Sus scrofa: one gene and its partner. The protein of the gene in region 1 purifies or fractionates together with the protein of each later gene. This does not show direct contact. Links are inferred from orthologs where the notes say so. Each region holds a gene or a part of one and is shown on either strand. Other genes may lie near its edges.

Evidence for each region. Proteins that work in one complex are often made in the same cells at the same time.
Region 2: the proteins of LZTR1 (region 1) and RIT1 purify together in Homo sapiens (affinity purification with mass spectrometry; 3 studies listed by BioGRID and IntAct, counting the BioPlex papers as one, with this or other methods). This does not show direct contact. The link is inferred for Sus scrofa from reciprocal best matches to the Homo sapiens genes LZTR1 and RIT1.

What each region holds. Positions count from the first base shown.
Region 1 is NC_010456.5:50,574,895-50,578,638, reverse strand, and holds the start of LZTR1 (leucine-zipper-like transcriptional regulator 1), read right to left. Parts: upstream 2,227-3,744; 5' UTR 1,932-2,226; coding exon 1,297-1,931; intron 864-1,296; coding exon 801-863; intron 1-800. Other genes in the region: AIFM3 (apoptosis-inducing factor 3), read right to left, coding at 2,673-2,712, 3,543-3,647. UniProt on the Homo sapiens protein: Substrate-specific adapter of a BCR (BTB-CUL3-RBX1) E3 ubiquitin-protein ligase complex that mediates ubiquitination of Ras (K-Ras/KRAS, N-Ras/NRAS and H-Ras/HRAS).
Region 2 is NC_010446.5:94,116,117-94,119,860, forward strand, and holds the start of RIT1 (GTP-binding protein Rit1), read left to right. Parts: upstream 1-1,604; 5' UTR 1,605-1,742; intron 1,743-2,172; exon of another isoform or gene 2,173-2,176; 5' UTR 2,177-2,218; coding exon 2,219-2,321; intron 2,322-2,483; coding exon 2,484-2,540; intron 2,541-3,744.

The DNA of each region.
Region 1 (3,744 bases):
GCCGGCCTACACCACAGCCACACCAATGTGGAATCCGAGCACCATCTGTGACCTACACCACAGCTCACAACAATGCCGGATCCTTTTTTTTGGCTTTTTGCCTTTTCTAGGGCCACTCCCCTGGCATATAGAGGTTCCCAGGCTAGGGAGTCTAATCAGAGCTGCAACCGCCAGCCACAGCCACAGCCACAGCAACGCGGGATCTGAGCCGCATCTGCGACCTACACCACAGCTCACAGCAACGCTGGATCCTTAGCCCACTGAGTAGGCCAGGGATTGAACGCGCAACCTCATGGTTCTTAGTCAGATTTGTTAACCACTGAGCCATGACAGGAACTCCAGCAATGCCGGATCCTTAACCCACTGCACAAGGCCAGGGATCGAACCTGCAACCTCATGGATACTAACTGGGTTTGTTACTGCTGGGAACTGTTCATGGGCTGAGATATACTTCCAGGAAAGTTATTTCCAGAATTTACAGCAACATGGAGAAACCCTTACAAAAGTGAAAATGGCAGGAATAAACAAATCTGTATCCTCCAAACCTCAACTGCCATGTGAGCTCGTGGCCCAGAGAGAAGTTACAGGTAAGGTGTTTCTTTCAAGCTGATGTCCACTCACTGAGAGCGAGAGGGACATATCTGTGTACTGGGTGTGTGCTACCACACAGAGGCTGTGCTGAGGAACCGCATGGATTGGGATGCTAAGGGCTTAGCTAACATCTGGAAAGACAGCAGTGAAGCTGCAGAGGCCCAGTGCGAGCTACCCTGCTTCTCCCTCCCCAATCCAGATTCACTCACCCGTTGTCTCCACCAAATACATAGATGGCATCTTTATAGGCCACCACTGTGTGTTTGCTGCGCCTGGAAAGAGAGAGGGAGGTGGTGGTGAGGCCAGGACCCTCCTGAGGGGTCACCCAAAGAATGAGACTCGGCACTGGGGCTGCCAAAGAATTCAGATGACACCTCTCAACTGCCAAGATCGATGGAGACCCCAATATTCCAGCAGTATTCTAAAGGACTCTGCATGTGGGGACTCCTGACACTCCCAACCCACTGCAGAGCACCTGGAACCCCATCTGGAGACCCACAGACACAATGTAACTCTAATACTCTGCCCTGGGCCACCCCACTCGGAGACTCCCTCGGGAGCCCCTCCCTTGCCCTGGACACGGACCTGGACCCACCTCACCCAACACACACCAGGTCTCGCCCCAGGAAACCACAGCCCAGCCTGGCCCAGGGGCCTGCCTGGGACCTCCTCAGACACCCCCCAGGACCCCCGCGCCCCGCCTACCGGGCCCCCACGAACTCGTCGCAGGGCGGGAGGCGCCGCCAACGATGCACTGTCTCAAAGGGCCCGAAGTTGAGCGTCAGGTACTCGACACTGTCCGAGCAGCTGTGGTCAAAGTCCACACTCGGGGCCACTTTGGACCGAGCTCCACCGGCCAGGGCCCCGGCCCCGATCGGGGCCCCCGAGCCACCGGGCCCAGCCATGCCGGGTCCACGCCCGATGGGCCACCGGGTCCGCTGGACGTGAGGCCACCGCCCCGGGCTGCTTCGAGAGACTACATTTCCCGGCGAGCCTTGGGCCGACGTCGCCGCACTGCCGGCCGCCCGCTTTTCCGGGAGAGCCTCACCGACCCAGTGGCTTGGCAGGCCGGATTGTGCGGCGAGCGCATAGACTTCCGGGAAGAGCTTCCCGCGGAGGTCGGGCGTGCGGTTCCCCCTCCAGCGAGCGCGGCGCCCTGGCCACAACCCCTCCCGGCCCGCACTTCCCCGGCGCGGCTCCCAGCATGCCCTGTGCGCATGGCTCGGTTTCGATCGTCCGCCGCGCCCGGGATCCCGGACGGAGGGTTCCGGGCTCGCAGTGGCCTCCGCGGGCCGCCCCACCATCCCCTTCTTGCTCTGTCCCTGGCCCGGCCCCCGCATCTCCCCATGGCGTTCTTTTTGGCTGGGAGACTGCGTGCACAGAGGCTCTGGATTCTCGGTCCTACTCTGGCAGAGCTTCAGCTGCTTCACCTACGAAATGGGCATTCAGGAAGCTCAGGCTGGGTCCGTCTCCGGACTCATTGCTCGAACCTTAATGGGCAAACACCCCCAACTGCTAAGCGCGAGTTCCCACTGTCCTCTGAAGAAGCATTCCCTGTCTCGGGCTTTATGCATGTGCTTTCCCTCTGCTTGGAGTGCCATTTCTTCAAAATCCAGATCCAAGACATGGGGCAGAATCAGTTGCTATCTCCTCTGGGCCAAAATTCCTTGGTGAAACACTGGGTGTTCTGTGGTCTCTGGTCATGCCTGTCTCCCCATCATCTGCTTTCTCCCTTGGGGGAGTTTGCCCAATTACAGTGGAAGTCACACAGATCTGCAAATGTGTGTGTTTTAATGTTAAGATACTGTCTAACATGTCACAGGGTCCTACAGGGAACCAGTCCCAGTAGAGGGATAGGAGGGCAGGCCTATCAATGCCACTGGATGCCTTGGGTGGTGAGCTTCTCCTGGAGGCCACTGGGGCCTCTCTGGAGGGGAACCAGGCAGCTGAAGCCAAACACTGGGAGGGCTCAGGTTCTGCCCTGGAGGATCCTGGGGAACTGGAGGTTGGCACTTGCCCCCCTGGCTTGGCCTCTGTCCCTGGGACCCCAGCATGCCTGCCCGAGTCCGCTGCATGCAAGTTCAGGATCCTTTCCCTGTGAGCCAGGACATGTCGCCGGTCCTGCAGGAATGAGGGAGGAGGAGTGAGAGCAGGAGGGAGCAGGCTCCCCACGGGGCACCGTGAGCAGCTGGACCTTGAAGACAGAAGAGGGCTGTGCAAGGCCCTGGCACCCAGCAGGGGTGTGTACTTGGGCAGGTGGGGAAGGCTCAGAGGGAAGAGGGGATGTACGTACTTGCTGTGCAGCAGAAACAGTCTTTGCGAAGGCAAGAGGGAAAGACAGAGAAGGCTGGGGAGACATCATGTCATTCACCATGTCCCCACTTGGTTCTCCATGTTTCCAGCCTGAGCCTCCTCCCCTGACCCCATCTCATGGCCTCCAGGGCTTCCTCAGTCCTGGGGGTTCTCTATAGGCGGGTGGAGTCCACAGGGTGACTCCCATTGGCACCATGCCCAGATGAGAGTAATGACTGGTGTCCAGTGGCTCACTGGACAGACCCTGAACAACCATCCCCCACCTCTGTGCAGGGTGCCCCAGAAGCAACACAAGCCACATCCTGCTGCCCTATAATTGAGTTCAGCCATGTTCAATGGGGTGTCCCGGCCCCAGTGACTGCCCAAGCAGTGAGTCTTGACCCATCCACACAGCACTGGCTTTGCCCTTGGACACGGCCTCTTTCCCTTCTATCCCCCAAGAGCACAAATAACCAGCCCACTCCCAAACCATAAGCCTTGCCCCACACCAGGCCATCGTTCTGGGAGCCTGAGACTGATTGAGACTGAGGTGGCCAAGTGGAGAGGGGGAGGACCCTCGAGGGCTGTGGAGGGAGCTTGAGCCAGCACCTCAGGGGACTTTTTCCCCTTTCCCCAAGATCCCCAGAGCCCACACTCACTCCACCTCCCGTTTCCGGATGCTGCGGCCAGAGGCCAGCACCTCAGCCACCTTAGACACGATGGGATCGTAGTTCATGCTGGCCACGGAGATCACTTCGTCGCCTCTGCAGGGAGAGGTAGTAGCCAAGCCTGAGGACAGCCCAGTGGCAGCCCCTGTCCTTGGAGACCTGAGTCCACCTGAGGCCCAGCGAGGCTCTCACT
Region 2 (3,744 bases), on another chromosome or scaffold:
TTACTAATTTAAAACTGTTGAATATAGCTGGATCCTGGGGAATTGAAGGTTTTCTTTATTTCTTTGGGATGATCCAAAGCTGGCACCTTCAGGCACTCTCGTCTCAGAGAGCCATTGCTGTTTTTATTGCCCGTCTAAGCTCCTTGTCTTCAAGTGGGTCAGAGAAAACTGCTTGATCAAAAGCTGGTCAGAACTCATCACAGAAATGAAACCCAGTGGTCTGTCTCTCTCAGAACTGGTTGCAGCGAAAATAGAGAGATTTGACTGCTCGCAATAGAATGGTGGACTTAGTGACTGAGATTGCGACTTGTCCTTTTTCTTGGCATTACAGGTTTTGCCAAAAGAACTTTTTTTGTATCAAATATTGATGTGTGAAAGTGAAGGAGCTAGTCTGCTGAACCAGGAGTAGTTTGAGATATTGAACTATCATTTTTGCACATTTGAATACTTTGCAGGCTGGCTTTGTATAAATGTATCCTCTGGTTTCCTATATGTTGTAAATATTTAGAACATAATTTCATTATAAATAAATGTATAAATATTCTGCTTGTGGTTTCTCTGTTCTTTCTTCCACAACGTATCCATGCACTAAAATTCATAAACTTTTTTGCTCACAGCATACTATAACCCCCATCAGAAAAATACATACCTGGACCCAAGAGTTTGCATTTAGTTCCAAGTTGTTGTTTTTTGTTTTTTTAATTTTTTTCTTTTAGTTCCAAGTGTTTTATGACTTTTCAAAGTAAACCCTGCAAAGTCCAAGTGAAATGTAAAGGATTGTTATGGTGGATGTTTTTCCTTTTCATTTTCTTGCCCTCCTTTATTGAATGTGGTTAAAAGGACTGAGTGAAAGTATTCTTTTTCTTTTTTTGGCTTTTTAGGGCTGCACCCATTGCATATGGAAGTTTCCAGGCTAGGGGGTGAATCGGAGCTGTAGTTGCCGGCCTACACCACAGCCACAGCAGTGCCGAATCTGAGCCACAGTTCGCGGCAACTCTGGATCCTTAACCCACTGAGCAAAGTCAAGGATCGAACCTGTGTCCTTATGGGTGCTAGTTGGGTTCATTCCCACTGAGCCACCACGGGAACTCCAGGAAATATAAGTATTCTTGGAAAAACATGCTTAGAAAGGAAGAAGGATGGGCAGAAGTTGCAACAGAAAATTTTGCCCATATAAAGTTCCTTCTAGTACTTCTATGTGTTACCCACCTAAATACAGGTGAACAGAATTGATAGTGTCTTAATTTATTGCTGTAAAGTCAAAGCCAGGTGCTTTTTTTTGTTACTAAGCAATAACACCTTGGTCCTGTTTGGGGGGGGGGTTGGCAGGTGCCCATTTCCTCATTACATTTGGCCAAATTTGTTTTTCTCATAAATGGTCCTGGGCAAGTTGTTATTGTAGAAGTCTCCAGTGTGCCCCTTATCACATCCTCCTTGCTTGACTTTGGTGTAAATAGTTTTGTGGCAGAGGGGGGCGCTGAGTGTGGCACTCCCCCAGGGCCTTCAGCGATGAGCGGGGTTTGAGGACCTGGCAGGAGATGGTCCTCCCCGGAGGAGGCGGGGCCAGTCCCCTGCGTCACGAGGGCGGCCCCGCCCCTCCTGCTGAGACGCGGGCGCTGCTGGCGCCATCTTCCCCAGCTGCGGGAGGGGTCACAGGTCAGTGCCAGATCCTCGCCGCGAATGAGGAGGACCGAGGACGAAGTGGGTGATCAGACCCGGCAGTGGCCTTAACCTTCCGACGGGTACGAGCAGCGGAGGGGTTGGCTTGTGAGGCGGAAGGGTGGGGGGCTTGATGGCGGCGCGAGGTGCTGCCGGGGGAGGAGAGCAGCCTCCGAGGGGAATGGAGAGGGGGCTGAACCTCCGGGTACCGCGGGCTTGAGAGGAAACCCTGAGGCCTAAGTCCCAAACTGCACTTTCTCACTGGGCTCCCTCCTGCTGTGCCGGCGTCCCAGTCTGCAAAGAAATGCCAAATTTCTTTGTCTCTTTTTATTCTTTTTTGAAAAAAAGTAGTAATTCAGAAAATCTATGATATGTCATGGGTCTGAGCTGCCCTGGAGGGAAGGTGAGGCTACGTGTTGCCTGAGGGTCGCCAGAAAGGGAGCAGGGGTAGGGCACTGGCTCTAGGACTGTCGTCACGGGGTCTCCATCCTGGATTAAATATTTTCTTTCTTTCCAGGTGCCTTTTCCTCCGGGCAGCCCAGGATTCTCCAAGAGGACAATGGATTCTGGAACTCGCCCAGTTGGTAGCTGTAACAGCCCTGCAGGGCTGTCACGGGAATACAAACTAGTGATGCTAGGTGCTGGCGGTGTAGGGAAAAGCGGTAGGTGACATTTTCCATTTTAAAGAAGTAAGAATGAAAAATGCTCACAACAGATGCCCTCCCCGAAAACCAAGTAGGAGACTGTCCTGCAATATTGATACTTGCAGTTCTTTCTGTTGGTCATCTTTGTATTTATTTTAACTTTCGCTTCTTGTTTTAAAGCCATGACCATGCAGTTCATCAGCCACCGATTTCCAGAAGATCATGACCCCACCATTGGTAAGTCAGACTGTCACTTAGGTTTTTCCACTAAACCCCATAAAAAGGCCTTGGTGTCAGTTTTTGAAACAGTTTTAGACCATTTATATTTTGAGCCTTTTGGGTGTCTGGTTTAGATTTACTTAACAAGAATAACATGGCAGTTGATAAGCAAATGACTTTTTTTTCTTAGCTTAACTTTATATGTACATAAGCCATCTTAGTCTGTTTTTTATTAAATATTACTGGGACACTTTGTTTTATTTTTATGGTTGCTCTACTGTATCGTCAGATTAAAGGAAAAGTTTAAAGGCCACTTAACAGAAGGCTTTTGCTATCATTTCTTTAAGGGTCTGATTTGAGACTAACTCTGTAACTATGAGTCAGCTGGTCTGAACTTCCACAAAAGGAAGCAGAAAAACAAGTAGAGCCAGCCTGCTGAACTCTTACAACCCAGACATGCAGAGCCTGGACTTGTTCCACTAGAAGCCCTTCATTTACTTCCTTATACCTCAAGTTCATTACACAGCAAGGTCTTTCTTCACGTCTTCTATAATCTTAATGCTCTATTGTTAGTAAACCACTGTTAGTAAGTAAAAACTAATTTTCTTGTGCCCTTTTTTTTTTTCTTTTTTTAGCTGCTATTCGCCATAGACCTTAGGAATGTTACTGTCATTCCTGGACCATAAGGAAGCAGATTTGATTTTAAGGGGTTATTTCCCAGTGAAGAAGAAAAATGGTGATGGGGGTAGAGGAGGGCACAGAAGTTCTGCCATATCACTTGTATTTTCAGGATGTGACACTTTTGTTGTGATCCTGAGTCTCTAGGAAGGATTTCCCATTGGGTCAGGACTCTACTGCTCTTTTTCATAAAGCCAATAATTTTTCTGTGCCAACCTACCTTTGGTTGTTACCATTTTATATAGTAGATGCTTCTGTGGCTTGGGGAAAAATAGAAACAGTTCTTATTTTTCATGTACTATGTTAAATTTAGAACATTGTTCAGGAATTCACACTACAGTGGGAATTTTAGGAATAAAATTAATTTAGGGCTTAAGATAATTTACTTAGAACTCCAGAATATCTTTTCCTTTCTTTAAAGTAAAACTCATATACTTGTCCCCTAAAAGACTTTTTTTTTTTTGGTCTCTTTAGGGCTACACCCTTGGCATATGGAAGTTCCCAGGCTAGGGGTTGAATTCGAGCTGCAGCTGCTGGCCTGTGT